2 linked regions of the Lepisosteus oculatus genome follow. The protein of the gene in region 1 purifies or fractionates together with the protein of each later gene. This does not show direct contact. Links are inferred from orthologs where the notes say so. Each region holds a gene or a part of one and is shown in the gene's direction. Other genes may lie near its edges.

The links.
Region 2: the proteins of pus10 (region 1) and abitram purify together in Homo sapiens (affinity purification with mass spectrometry; 3 studies listed by BioGRID and IntAct, counting the BioPlex papers as one, with this or other methods). This does not show direct contact. The link is inferred for Lepisosteus oculatus from reciprocal best matches to the Homo sapiens genes PUS10 and ABITRAM.

What each region holds. Positions count from the first base shown.
Region 1 is NC_090712.1:9,897,701-9,904,940, forward strand, and holds the start of pus10 (tRNA pseudouridine synthase Pus10), read left to right. Parts: upstream 1-4,022; 5' UTR 4,023-4,131; intron 4,132-4,142; exon of another isoform or gene 4,143-4,301; intron 4,302-4,346; exon of another isoform or gene 4,347-4,368; intron 4,369-4,387; exon of another isoform or gene 4,388-4,692; intron 4,693-5,077; 5' UTR 5,078-5,085; coding exon 5,086-5,211; intron 5,212-5,464; coding exon 5,465-5,719; intron 5,720-6,194; coding exon 6,195-6,281; intron 6,282-7,240. Other genes in the region: pex13 (peroxisome biogenesis factor 13), read right to left, coding at 1,310-1,647, 1,852-1,977, 2,294-2,994, 3,528-3,601. UniProt on the Homo sapiens protein: Protein with different functions depending on its subcellular location: involved in miRNA processing in the nucleus and acts as a tRNA pseudouridylate synthase in the cytoplasm.
Region 2 is NC_090705.1:32,604,346-32,612,500, reverse strand, and holds the start of abitram (protein Abitram), read left to right. Parts: upstream 1-4,882; 5' UTR 4,883-5,007; coding exon 5,008-5,077; intron 5,078-5,362; coding exon 5,363-5,414; intron 5,415-7,053; coding exon 7,054-7,183; intron 7,184-7,661; coding exon 7,662-7,738; intron 7,739-8,155. UniProt on the Homo sapiens protein: Actin-binding protein that regulates actin polymerization, filopodia dynamics and increases the branching of proximal dendrites of developing neurons.

The sequences.
Region 1 (7,240 bases):
ATTTTATTACAATCTGTTAGATGGGAAAAATAATAAAAAATTGCGTGGAAAGTTTGAATATTTGTGCATACTTTAATTCACGATGTGCAAACACCTCTGCATCAATGAATTAGCATTACTAATACTTGAGAGGAAGCTTAGATTTTCACCAAGCCAAACTTCCAAGTAAAGTAACCTTTAGTGTATAATGCGAATCTTTATACACTAAAAGATTTTACAATTCTAAGAATGCTTCGGTTATTCCGTAATAATAGCCTACTTCATAGTTTTGTGTGAAACACAACTGACCAATCATTGCACACTAAATTAAACTAAATTAAATCCCCTGTACACTTTGTATTAACCTTTTAAATCACAAGCCCCCCAAAGGCACCCAGGAGCAATTTCGATCTTTTCTCAAAGGTAAGAGACAACAGTATGAGTCAAAACAACAGTGCATCGAATGAAATACATGTAACAGGAAATTCCATGTTTACTCGTGTCATATTCAACAATTCAGTGTGAAGCTCTTTAGCTTAAAAAAAGGATTGACAAAACAATGAAAGCCCTTCAAAGAAAACAATAAGGTATAGCTTTGTTATGGTAAAACATAGGTTTAATATATTAATATTTTTAATATTTTTAATTGATATTCTCCCTCTTATTTGGGATTTGGTTTTCATCCTAAAATGCTGACTTTGTTAAAAAATATATACTTTGTCATTAATACATAATGATTGAAACTTTTCACCAGAACAAAAAAACTCAGCATTATCCCATCTTTATAAAAAAAAGAACAATTCACTTATTTTCCACTTATCCATTTTCTAAAACTTTCTCTTTTCAGTTTCAAATTTAAACCTATGGCCAAACAATCAAAGTTATATGCAAGTGAACAGCTTCTGGCAACCTGTTAATCTTAAATGCGTCTAGAATGTCCAATGTTATTAAAAATACACTGGCATAATTTAATGGCCTTCAATCATTATGACTACAAAATGCAACCAGCAAGAGGTTTTCTGCCAGTGTCATCATTAAAAGAAAACCAAGGATATTTATTATCTCATCGGACACAGGAGACTGGGGGTCACCCAAAGTTTCCAGACAACATATTTAATTTGTCTTGAAATGGCTTTTAGCTTCCTGTGATAATTGCTGCATTCACTTGTCAGTGAAGTGACGAAACGGACAGTGGGTCATCTGGTAATCTGAGCAGCCTGAGGACATAGAACGTTTTCAGTTTCTCCCCTTTCTTGACCAGTGATGTGTAGGGAATTGGTTTTAAAATCAAATTCCCCCCCAAAAAATGTTCACAGAAATAGTACAAATTTCACAGATCTATTTTCTCAGGAATAACGATAGCAGCACTGGAAGAGGGCTTCCTCTCGGGATTTCCCGGTGTTCCCGTGAACACGGACTCGAACACATCCTCGGGGTTTGAAAGGGTCTCTGGCGCTGCCGCCGCTGCCCCAGCTGCCCCAGCTGCCCCAGCTCCCAGTGCTTGTTGTGTGCTGGCCGACCCTGGCTGCTGCTCTGCAATTCTCTCCAGTTCTGCTTGCTTCCTGCCTCTCCTTTTGCCGAGAATTTTAACGTAGTTGGCTGGGACGAGTCCTGTACCCTGACCATCCAAACTGGCCAAAAGCCATCCCCGTACCCTAGGCTGTTGTTCTGCCAGGAATAAAAACACTATAATTAATGTTTGTGGAAAAGTATGTGCGCAACAAACAAATGAGACAGCAGTCATGTCCCTCTTAAAACCATGCCAACGTTCTGCAGCATATCTTTAAAAGTCTATAAAACTGGGACTTAATTATGCAGAATCGCACTTTGGACATGGGAATGTAATTTAAAATAAATGGATCACATCCTTACCCTTAGGTGCCAAGTTCAACATATCCCCGGCACGAATAGAAATTTCTTCCTCCGAGGCAGCTGTGAAGTCATATTCTGCCCTTGCCACCACGTGGTCATCGTCGCCATTTGCCCAGTTTGTGGATGCTTTGGGTTCAAACAATTATGGTTAAAAGCGATTATACTCAACTATAACAGACACTATAATATACACTTAAACTCTGCTGTATCAGACATACTTTCAGACAATAGTTTTAAACAGACCAACACTGTACTGACAGTAAGTAGCAAATGAAGATCACTGCTGTTGTTTTTCACCATGGAAGGGATAGGCTGTGTCTTAATATAATGGTAAACAAAACAATCAAACCCTATTTCTAATATATTCCAACCTGTGTATTTCCTTCCTGGTGAGTTTTCTTCTTCCATACATGACTATATTGTTGTCTCGAAAGGGACTCACCAGTTTCTTCTGCCCCAACAGTTGAACTCAGCAGTTTCCAAATCAGGTAAGGTCCTCCAAGGATGACAGCAAAGAAAAGGAATATAGGCCAAGACTTGACAGAGCTGGCAGCTCTGTCTTCAGCTCCAGCCTCAACCACTACGCCAGCGCTGTCCGCCCACAGGTCCTCCGCCTCGGACGCCCTGCGCAGTCCCAGCATCCTCTGCAGCCGCCTGTAGAGGTACCGCAGGGTGCGCACCAGAGCGAAGGCGGAGAAGACCTTGGTGAAGTGGACCTTCAGCCTGGAGAAGTGGTTTGCCACATCCAAGACTGCCCGGAAGCTGTTGTAGACGGCGGAGAACGTGGCATCCATCATCATGCTGACGGAGGAGAAGGCGTGGACGATGCTCTCGATGGACTGGAAGGCCCCCCGGCTGCTCTCCTCTGCCTGCTGCACGAATCGGCTGGGTGGAGCTTCGTCCGCACGGAACCTGTTGTATCCCAGCCCACCCCCATAGCCGTAGCTGTATGGGCTGTAGCCCCCATATACTGAGCCTCCATAGGGGCTGTAGGAAGAGGAGAAGGAGCTGTATGCTGGTCGGTAGGCTGTCAGACTGTTGCCACGATCCTGCTGAGATGGTCTTGGGGGAACGGGAGGTGGAACTCTGGTCAGGACAGGAGGGCCCGGTCTTGACAGGCCAGTGGACCCAAATTCCGTTGACCTGTTCATTGAAAGCAGGCCCCATTTAGGTTTACACACGCGCGTAGATTAAAATACCTCAGCAAACATGTCATATTTGTCGATCTTCGCTTGCATTGTATGCTGCACAGAACGCATCTCATTCTTTTCTGCTCTCTGCTGAAAGCTAAACCGAACAAAAGAAAAATTGAAAGTGTTCAGAGGACTGCGGTAACTACACATCTGAGCTGAGCAAAAGTTCGTCTTCGACTTTTTAAAATCTTCCACTGTTTTTAACGTCTTTCTGGTAAAGCTAATTACACAATCGCAGCTGTTTTGACTGAACAGTAAAACTATGAATGCTTTTGCCATTTTTCAGGGATTTTTCATTGTACATAGTTGTTTAAATTTGTATTCAGATTGATGATATAAGTGATATGCGCCAGTTTGCTTATCTTTGTTATCTACATGTACATTAATAATAAGCCTGTAAAAAGTGCAGGCATCTGAAGAGCCACTGCAGGCCTAAGCAACAATTAAACACAGCATTGCCAAAAAGACAACGTTTTTACTCACTGAAAGGCAGCTGGAGTAGAAATGGCACCTGGAATCCGTCTTTCCCAGGGTTTCGGGGGAGGCTGCGATGCCATCCTTTAAAATCCCCCCAAAACGGTTACCCTGTTTTCTACAGTTCCTACCCAGTTCACAGTTCAGAATCCAGCCCGTCACACTGGTCCTGTCCTAGACCTTAATAATGGATCGCAGCAAAGGACGAAGGTATTGAATTAGGATGAAAAGTATGAGCCTGAATGTGAAACTGTAATACGAGTGCGACATACACTCGAAATGTATTTCAGAGGAAAACACAACGATTTGTAATCACTAACTAAAAAATATATATATTTCTTGTCAAATACATCGATGTTTTTGTTGAATTAGATATGAACCATTTGGGCTTGATTCCTAGAACTTCGAGGTTTTGTGCTAATTCACAAGGACGTGTTTGTGCCTTAGAATTAATAATCTAATATATTTACTTTTGTAATTTTTTTGCCTTAAATCTACACCAGGTTGGCATCTAAAGCGAGTGCTCATGCTGTAGATCTACTGTTCGGAGAACAATTAATCGTGCCTACTGACGCAGGGGACGTGGAAGAGCTCGGGGATGTGTAGAAAGCACGTACGTACGGAATGTGCTTTGTTTTCGTGCAACCTCAATTGAATGCATATAGGAAGTTTTAATTATTGAGGCTGTTCTGTTTTGTTGTAATATTCATGTGTGCTTTCTTTTATCTACAGAAATTAATGTTTCTTTGAAATAGTAGGAGTGCAATAGCAGCAGCACGTTGGGTAATCACGCTACATTAGGACATCCTGTTTGCTGTCCAACATCAACTTGGCGACCATTAACTTTATTGTACGAACAGGACCAAAAAAAAAAACTAAGCCGAGTTAAACTTACTGAGACATTGCAGTCATTGCAATGGTCAATGTATAAATCAAATTAAAAGTGATAAAAAGTGATAAACCTTGCTATATCATTATTTTGTAAGCCAGATTGATGTATTATTTGTATACATTAAGAAAAATATAATTGTTGGTAAAGATGCGTGATGTGGATATGCTTAGGTGAATAATGTCCTGTTTCGTCCGCTAAGAATTCTGTTTACGGTTGCTTACATCATGTGCTGATGTACTGGCTGTCCTCTGTAAACCCAGTCATAGACAAAGCCGTGGACAGGTACTGAACCGAGAATAAGCAGGACTGACAAAATATTTAATAATTTTTAAGTCAGGTAAAGTCAACTGGTAATAGGTGGAAGAACGTGTTTACAGTACATGTCAGAATGACACGACAAAGGTGGAGAGATTTTAATCATACGCAGAACGTCCAAATAAAACGGACTAGTCTAGATATTGTTAGCTAAGGTACCTCCAGGTATAACCCAGTTGTAATTAAGATAGGAAATATGTGATAGGATGATGAAACCGTAACTTTTCAATTCAAGATCAGTAGATCTCCTGATATGTTTGGACTATGTGATGCTGTGATGGTAAGAAAAGCATTACCTGGTCTGTTTTACTCTGAAATCGACTGCATTTTCCATTCTTCCTTGTGTTTACAGTCAGAGCTATGTTGCCCCTTAAGGAGAAGGACAGGACAATTGTACAGACTCTGCTGAAAGCAGGCTGTTGCCCACGTTGTGTGCTTCGATTCTGTTGTGTGGGTCTGCAGTCTGCCTACAGACAGCCATATCAGGTATTGCTGTTGCTCTTTTTTATAGTTACACTCTTGATCTTCTCAGTTTTATTCAGTTCAATCTACCATATCTTAACTTTGCAAGAACATTTTTTTGGCATTTTAATTTAAATTTAATTAGCATTTTTTGATTATTTTAGTCTAAAATAATCCTTGTTGTCAAAATGGAAATGCCTGATCTAGATCCAAGTGCTTTTTCTTCAAGGTGCAGCTGTGTCTAGTGGCATAAAGACTTCTTATTTATTCCCTGCAGATTCTGGAGGATGAACTGCACCGTTTTGCCAAACCAGATGAAAGTAGTAACCCTACTGCTGCAGCAGAAGAAGAGGAGGACCCCCCTTGTAAAAGAATTAAGCTGGAGGGAGCAGAGATCAGTGTAGCTGGTGAAAAGGGAACTGTTATACCCCTGCCTGGGGACAGCTTTGACACCCAGAAAAATGAGCAAAACGTTTGTGTGGTGTGTTTGGGAGTGCTTCAGGACTTCTGTGACAAAGAGTTTGCCCAAAAAGTAAGCTCAGATATATCCTACATTCTTCTTACTGAATCTTTGTAAAATGACAAAGAACAGAAGTGTTTGGAAAAGTTGTGACAAAGCCTGTTGTGCGAAGCTTATATTTCTTTAATAAAGCAAGTCCATGATAATAAGAAACAAATCAAAAAGTTGTAATCATATTGCTTACACTGCTCTGCAGTTTCCTGTTATGCACTTGAGATGGACGCACTGCTTCACTTTCCCCTGATAAAAGAACATCACAAGGTTAATAGACTTTAAAGAGAAAAATGAAATGATGTAGAACAGCATTTAAAAAATCACTGTTCTGTATTTGTAAGCTAAAATACGTGCTGACAATTTAAAATCATCGTGAATACAGTGAAATGTAAAGTGAAAAAGCCGAAACTGGTAGTGAAGAAAGGTGTTCAGTAGGCTCCTGTATTTTGATGCTTTTTTGTTGACCCCTCCCTCACATTATTGCTACTGATAGATGTCCCGGGCAGTGGATTCCGCTGGCTACCAGTTCAACAGTCTAGTTGTGTCAGTGTCTCTTCCACCCCAGCTCTCCGTGAGAGAGGTGAGTCCTGTCTGTCTGTGCTGCTTTGTCTAGTCATTCTCCAATCTGAGAGAGTGATCATTTTCATGCATCTCAAGGCCTGTGCAATGTCCAAGCTATAACTACGTTCAAGAATCTAATGACAGATAAAAATCATACTTGGAGGTTTTACAGTCTGTGTTATATGTGCTGTATGTAGATGGCCAGTCCTGCCATTTTGGCATAAAAGTTGTATTAGGGGGTTTTGTGTTGGTGGTTTTATGGGGATGCATTCCTAGGGTAGAAGTGATGTTTGCCTGTATGTGCATGAGGTGTATGAGGTTTATATCTACTGAATGGCCAGGCCGTGGTACGTGGTAGAGTTGTTATACCCTGATTCTTTGATCTCATGTGTAATAGGCACATATAGTGGTTTGTGAAGGAAACGTATCTCTTTTCTGGTATGCTGTTTTTCTGTAGGTGGGATCTCTACCAGTTGATCACAAGTCAACTGGTAGAATATGTAGTCTAATATGTTCATTCTCAAAAAGAACTCTTTGCAAACAAAAAGAGAATGAGGCCATCGCAGCTCTGTTGGGATATTAACTTGATTGATTGTGGAAAAGTGTAGGGCAAAGACGGGATTTTGTGGACATTACATGAATGTATGATGTTACAGATTCAGCTTTGTTTTTATTTCCATATTAAATGTGTATCAGTACAGTATATTATCCAGATTACCTTTTCTTGTTCAGTTTCAAGGTTCTCCAGTAGAGAGCAGTCAGGTTCTTGAAGTCTTAGTGTGCTTTTTTTTCTGTTGTGTGGTGGAACTTGGAAACAGTGGAAAATGTGATAACACTTGTTTTGTTTTCTATTCCATTTGAAGTGTGTGGTGAAAAGGTCTATCTTCATTCATGTTAAAATAAACAAAATCATTTCAAAATATCTTTGTTCATTATAAAACATGAGAACTACCATTATGTCATTTTAAGAATTTAAGT
Region 2 (8,155 bases), on another chromosome or scaffold:
TCAACCCAGTTTACTCATTCCCAGCTCTTCTGTCACATCTCTCACTCTAACAGTCTTCGACGTTATCTGTCTCTTTTTTACTCTTAATATAATAATAATTATAATAATAATAAACTTTATTTTATATAGCGCCTTTAAAGGAGGCTTCTCAAAGCGCTTTACAGGATGACAACAACAATAAATAAGAAGAATACACAAGATAAAACACAATTACAATATACAGAGGAGACCGTGGATGGTGATACTAAGAAAAGCAGAGGGATGAAGAATGGAACCAGTTAAGTAAAGGCTTTTCTGAAGAAGAGGGTTTTGAGTCTGGATTTGAAGGAATTTAGAGTAGGTGACTCTCTGATATCCAGGGCAGAGAGTTCCAGAGCTTGGGGGCATAACAGGAGAAGGCCCTGTCACCCATACAATGTAGACAGGCTTGGGGGACAGTAAGGAGAGCAGAATTAGAAGAGTGAAGGTTGTGAAGTGGGGAGTAAGGTGATAATAGTTCAGACAGGTACAGAGGTGCCAAGCCATGCAGAGCCTTATAGGTGAGCGTGAGGATTTTAAAGTCTACACGGAATTTGACCGGAAGCCAGTGCAAGGACTCCAGGATAGGAGTAATGTGAACAATTGCACTTGACCTGGTCAGGATTCTGGCTGCTGCTTAATATCTCTCTCTCCTATTTTTCCCGGCTGACCCTCTTTGGCAAGGGATGTTTCTCTATAACCAGCCTTGGCGACCCTCGACACAGCAGCAGCCAGGCTCGTGATTTCCCTGCCTTCTTGCTCAGTCGGCCCAGCCACCTGCTCCCTTCAATTGACAGGGTGTATTTCGGATATAACCTGTGCTGCCTAGACTCCACACTCTTGTGTGTGCGGAGAAGGGATGCCACTAACTTGTGAAGTTATCGCCTCCCTTCACTTCTGGTCCTGCAAAACAACTCTGTTCATCAGCAGACCAAATGAACCAAATAAACTACAATGCAGCCCAGCTGTCCCAGGATCTGTGAGGCTGATCAGAACAGCATTTGCTGTAACTTCTTCAAGCCTTCCTAACCTATGGAGTCCCACAGGCCTGTTAGCCGTCTTGAGTCCATCTCGAGTCCATCTCGAGTCCATCTCGAGCAAGAACCCCTTGTCATGAAAGCGTTCTTTCCGGACCCTATGCAGACGACACAATCCGGGGTAGAGTGAGGAAAAACACAGGGAAAAAGCATGTGGGAGTCGGGAATGAAAACAAGGGGCGTGTCCATAATGCGCTGGTGTTCGGGGAAGGTGTGGCCGAGGCAAACTGTCCAAAACTGAGTCCAACGGGGAATCTGAGAGAAGGCAAAATCAAGAACTGGGCGGTTCATCCAAGACAGAACCGGGTCAGAACCAGCAGGAACAGGAACAGGAACTTTAAAACCTTGAAGGGACCAGGTGCTTCCAGGTCCCGGACTCCGCTGGTACGGGAACAACATTGGCCATGAGTTCTGAGACAAGATGGTGGCATGCTAACAAAGGCACCACTGATTACATCATGCTATTACGTTGATTGAAATTAATCTTTAGTGCTGGCAGACTGCACCCTGGACAAGCCTAAAGTTTAGAGTAAGAATCTCTGAGCTGTCATCAGATTATTTTGGGACAGTTTAGCATTGAACAAACTTAGAGCATATCTGCCAAGGCCATTGGAAAAGGGTTCCGAAAAAGGTTTAATAGAAAATAAAAATAATAAAAAGAATTACTAGTTGAGAACACCCATTCTGACTGTTGGTTTTATTCTTTTACATGTTCATGATTGACAGATATTAAATGTCTTCTTGTGTCTGTCAAGATTACACAATATATCCATGAAGAGTATAAAAATATAAAATGTTTAATAAAGTGTATAAAACCTTGTTCAATGATTAAATCAAGGGCATTAGGTGACCACTGTGACAAAAAAGAACCATCACTCATTCTCTCAGTTATGCAAGTTTATTATTTGTTTGCTAAAAAATCTATGACAGTCAGGAAAACTATTTGTAAAATATAAACCCAGATAAAAAGAGAAAATTAATTTGTCCACAACAAATTTGTATTTTTTTGGTAAGAAGTAACGATGAGGAATTTCAGTATTTTAGTGGCATATACAGTACTGTATGTTACCTACACATGTACAGTATGTAGCATCAAACAAGATGAACACCAGACATGAAAACTAATATTTTATGACTAAACAGCTGTATAAGGTTATACTTGAAATTAATAATTGTTTTCTAAATCTTTTTTTTAAAGATTACTCAATCATTGTCCTTTAGTGCTTGCATTTATGACAGCACAATATAAATTTAATTAGCAGAAAATGCATGCATTACAGCAAAGAGAGAAAAACAGTTTAAGTAGTTCTGGTAAGAGTAATTCTTTCCAGTATTTCACAAGCCTGGCATTCTGAAGTTGACAGTGCCTGACAGATTAGCTGACACTGTCAAATTCCTGCTAGTGGAGAATAGCCAATTTTATGCAATGCCAGCAAATCTCCTCATAGTAACTGGAATATAGCAAAACGAAACAGTTCCAGTTGGTTTTTGATTAACCAAAAGCTGTAAATATTACTTTATGGACATTTGTTTAGAGTCAATTCTAGAAACAGGATAAATTAAACATCATGGTTTTCCGTGTTTTGTATCCAAGAACGTCATTAATTTTGTTTATTTATAAGTTGGTGCAAAATTTGTCTAGACCTTTTTTTATTTACCAAGGTAAATCATGCTGATACCAGACCTGAACAATGATGACAGCTATGCAATCATGTGCAAATCGTACCTTTGATTTTATGTACGCAGATTGTCGTGAGGTAACAACACCTAAATGCAAATGGGAGCAATTCCTTAATACATTATTAAAGGAAATGTTAATCTGTATTTATTATATAACTAATTATTATTTACAGTCCATAAAGTTTGTGCATAAATATTTATACACTACTAAAGAAGTTTATGCAGTTGTAGAAATATGAATTAACAGTAGTAATATTTAATAATATAAAACAAATTCACACACTTTAAGAAGAAAGAGGAATCAAAACACTTAGCCTTCCAGATTCCCTATGGCCACAAGCTTAGTCCTCAACCAGGTGGGTTGAGCCAAATTTTTACTAAACCACTCGATAATCCTACAGTACACTTAATTCTAGGGTTCAACTTGAACTTGAACTTTATTGCCATGTGTAACCAGTACATGTACTGGTACAATGGAATTCTTACTTACAAAAAGTCTCTCAATTGTTAAAAAAGTGTAAAAATACAAAGTGCAGACAGTGCATCAAGACAACATACAAACAAACAGTAGATGATGTACAAGTAAACAAGTAAACAGTTTGAATGTAAACAATGCAGACATGTAAAAAATGACTGCAGTTGAGCAATAAATAAGAAATTATAATGAGATAGATGGTGTAGATGTGGTCCAAGGGGCATGGCCAAATGTCTTCACCAATTGCACTGCTTGTGGGTAGAAGCAATTGAAGAATCTGGTGGTAAGTGTCTATATGCTCTTGTATCTCTTGCCTGAGGGCAGTGGGGTGAAGAGCTCATGCCTGGGGTGGTGACTGTCCTCTGTGATGGCCAGAATTCTACCACGGCAGCGGTCCTCATAGAGCTGTTTAAACTCTGTGAGAAGTCAACGGATGATCTTCTGGGCCACATTCACCATTCTCTGCAGTGCCTTTCTCTCTCGAGAAGAGGTGTTGCTGTACCACACATTGATCCCATTGGTGAGGGCGCTCTCGATGGTGCAGGGTGTTGTTATTCCTAGTGAAATTCAGGTTATTGTAAAATATATTTAGACGTGTTTACGTATGTGTATGGGTAGCAGTATGGTGGTGCAGTAGTTTGCGTTGTTGACTCACACTTCCTGACCTGGGCTGCTATCTGTGTGCAGTTTGTATCTTCTCTGTGTGTTTGTGTGGGTTCCCTCCTGGTACTCCCATTTCCTCCCACCTTCTGAAGACATACTGGTAGGTTAATTGGCTTCAGGGAAAACTGGCCCAGTTGTTTGTGTGACTGCCCTACAATGGAGTGGCATCCTGTGTAAGTCTATCCTGTCTTGAGCCTGTTGCTTCGCAGGTTAGGATCCATCTCCTTCGTTGGATGAAGTGATCTGAAGATGGATGGATTTTCATGTACCTTCAGAAACTGCATATACCCGTGGTTCTAAAGCACACAAAATCAGGTAAAATATTGTCAAGTGTGCATTTACCAGGAACTGGGATATTGGGAGGCTCTGTATTTTAGTTGAGATTGAACCAAGGTTCTGAATAATTGGTTAATTAAATTCCTGTGTCACTTTTTGAAAGGCATCAGCGTAACCCAGGTGTAAATTATATTCAGAACTTTAGTACAATCTGGCCTTCCAGAAACTCCACCTTAATTTAAACCGTAAAAAGTAACTTTTCATTCCCTCCCTGCTGTCTGTTGTGATGTGTTGTGGCTGTGTTAGCACATAAAGGCAATCCTGTGTCACCCAGTTTGGTGCTGACTTGAGAGATAAATCTTTGCGACCCTATGATATGAAATATACAAGATAGATGAAAGGAATTCTGATTATCTTTCATCAACGGATTGAAAAGCATTATAAGGAATTCTGAAACAGATCTAGGGTATGGTGTTGTGGATAGAAAGTGTTTTTGAAATTAATTTTCTGGATTATGTTTTATGTAAATGTAGGGAAAAGATATAAAATTTTTCTTTCATTTTTAGGTCAACTGGACTAGTTGTCAATCATTATGTCAGAATTTTCTTAATGTCACTTTTTGCATTTTACATAGATACAGTAGGTGTCAGTAATACACCGAGAGCTTGTGCATTAACTCAAAAGGAACGAATCTGCGCAGTTCGTGAGGCACTCGGAAATATTTACTGGCGTACGGAAGAAATCACATTTGTGGTGTGACAGTGTTTCGAGTCCCATTGTTGAAATATTGTAACACAATTTTGTGCTGTATATAAAATCAAATTACTTTAAAGTAATCCAGATTGTTTATCTTTATCGATGGAAGGTGGGAATAATGACGGAACTCCTTCTGTTATTGATCGGTATTTTACCCGATGGTATAAAACAGGTACGTAAATTAGTTCTTGTCCATTTAAACTGTTCTTAAACGAGAGAGCAACTTAAGTATTTACACAGATTTTAACCCTTTTTGAAATTTTGCCTTAATAAATAAGGTACATGGAGAGAGAAATAATTTAGGAAAAATTATATGTAAATTTCAAAGTTTAAATTTATAATACAGATTGTTGTGTCGAATGTTAATGTTATTGCACGCTTTGTATTTGATTTTACTATATTATTAATGTATATTTAACATTACATTTGTATGATATTACGACTTTTTATAATCAAGATTTGAAGAATAAACCGTGTGAGGACCACTGCATTCTGCAACATTCCAATAGGTAAGTACAGAAATTATTTTTTAATTGATGTTTAATTTACAGAAACAATTTGTAGTGTAACCAATTGCTTAGTTATTAATAATAAATACTTTAGCTCCCCTTTGCGATTTTTGGATAAAAAATAACAAAACCTAAAAGACCTGAGAATAAAATGTTGTAGAAATAAAAACTTTATTTAGCTGAAGTGTATATAAACCTATTAACGCTTATCTAAAATTATATACATTTATAACAGTGCAGTGGTCTTGCCCTTTTTATATCATGTTTGAAATTGTGTTTGTTCTAAGATTCATCTGAGCTTTGTTTGTGATTCAGGTTAGTTCTACAAGATGCACACATGCTCTGATACAAAAATACACATATAATACTCAAAAAGGGATTTTTTAAAGCATCTTTCACCTTGAATATCCAGTGCTGTTTGTACTGGATTGTTGTTGCATAGGAGATGTTTTCATATTTTTTACTATACCCCCCAAAAATCTTTATGTGTAGAAAATAAAGATCGGTTGTTTTGTAAATATCCTTTTTTAACCTTCAAAAAATGACTTAAAATGGTACGATAAGAAAATTTTACGTTTGCACTGAGGCTGTTTGGTAGAAATATCCTCTCCTTAAGTTCCTGGCTGCATATTGAAAGAGGACATTCCGTTATAAGGATCAAATAAAATACACTTGTAATAAAAAAAATTAACCTAAGCTTATTATTAAGTTGGTATTAGATTACTTTAGCATATCCTTTGTATCAAATGCCTTCTGACATTAAATGTGTTCTATTGGGGACTTTACATGCAGATCTGCAGAACAAGCGTGCTGTTTTCTAATTAGCTTAAGTACTGCTTGGGAACCAACTGTTTCTATGACAACCTTAATATTAAGTAGCCACTTTCAGTCGTTTGGAAATAAAGTGGTTTACTTCAAACATAATTAAAAAAACATTAACACCTAGATTTGTTAGTTTCTAGTTGTCCAAAGACTTTCTGACATTTAGAGTTGGGGAAGAATGTAGTCTGTGAATAAGGTCGTTGATGTGGGTGGTATTGAAGTCTGCATTAAGGCATTTTAACTTGTCAAAATTGTCAACCACAGAAATGTTGTGAAAGGTGAAAATGGCTGACTGTCAGCCATGTTTAAATGAATGAAATGTATTTGGACAGCTGTTTTTTATGAAGCTGCAGGGCTTACTTTGTGACACATTCTAGAATGATCTAAAAATCCAAGAAGCCCTTGTAGCAACGCCGATGTTACGTACAATCTGTTCAAATATGAAATATTCGGTAGAAAAACATTTCCCACTTAAAAAAAATGTATAAAATTGACTTTTAGGTGGGATTAGACAGATCCACAAACAGAAAGGATTAGCTTCTTGTATCTCTCTCATTCTGCATTTCCGCATTAAATAATAGTCTCCATTTGTCTTCATGAGCTTAATGATAAAAAGATTAATTTCCATTGCTGCTGTTAAAGTTTCCTTATTGATTGGATGCGTCTCGAAAGCTGTATCCACACTGCAGTCAGGGATTCAGACTGCATCTGATTTGCACCCCAAGTTCATAACCTGCCAGAAAACCCTTTCACCGTTCTTCTTTAGTTTGGTGGCTCTAAGTGTGGTGCTTGTCTTTTCTTTTTTTTTTGTGTGCAGAATCTGTGTCGTCACACTTGCGGAATCACATCCCATTTTACAACATGGGAAAAAAATCAAGAGCATCAATTACCAGATCAGTGCCAACTGCAGCCGACTTCAGAACAAAGTGTCGGGGAAATCAAAAAGGGTATTTCTCAAGCCTCTGTATACAGCATATGACATGCATGAACAAGCTCCTTCTTTCCAGTTTGGTGATACTTGTGACAGTCCTCTCAGTGTTGTTTGTTAGGTGATGGAGGCTTATTACACTGACTGAAAGCATTAGCCTACTGTATCGCGTGCTGCTGGTTAAATGTAAATTACATCAAGTATTGAGTCAATAATTTCTCCGATACTACCGAGGTACAAGGTAAAAATTGTTTTAAAATCATGGGGGGATAACATCAATTTTAGTTTGAAAATGTTCCCAAATTACAAATATCATTACAAGCCATAAGCATGTTGAAAGGGGTGTACGAAGTAATACAGCTACTAAACAGCAGAGATATCATTTGAAGAAGTATGTGTGAGCAATATATATATTTCTGTATATTTAAAACGTAAATTATTTCATCCCACTACTGCCCTTGTAATAAAATGTTTTATCCCTTTATTTCATTTTCTAGGGTGGACAGTTTCTCACGGAGCTTGCGCCTCTTTGTAGAATAACATGCACAGATGGAGAAGAATATACTATTTTTAGGTAAGACATGTACAAAGATGTCACATTTCCTTAATTTTAATCTTCTTCATATCCTCGGTTCTCGTGTCTTGCATGTACACGATGCCTGCAGCGAATGCCTTTGAGTTTCAGAAATGTAAATTAGTTACAAACCACACTTCTGACTACAATTATTTTCATATTTTAGAGTATTGTTAAGAAATTCAATGGTGAGAAGAGCATTATTCCTGAATTTTGGAACCTATTTTATATCTAAATGTTTTATTGGTATATCTCCAACTGAACTGCAGTTAGCATTACTTTGTGAGTAGCGACTTTATTTTTGAAGCTTTAGATCCCACGTTTTAAGTATTGTTCATTAATAAATACAATATATTTTAAATGTATTTGTGCTTGTAATTTGAACAGAGATTAAGTATTGTTTTTCAACTGTTGACT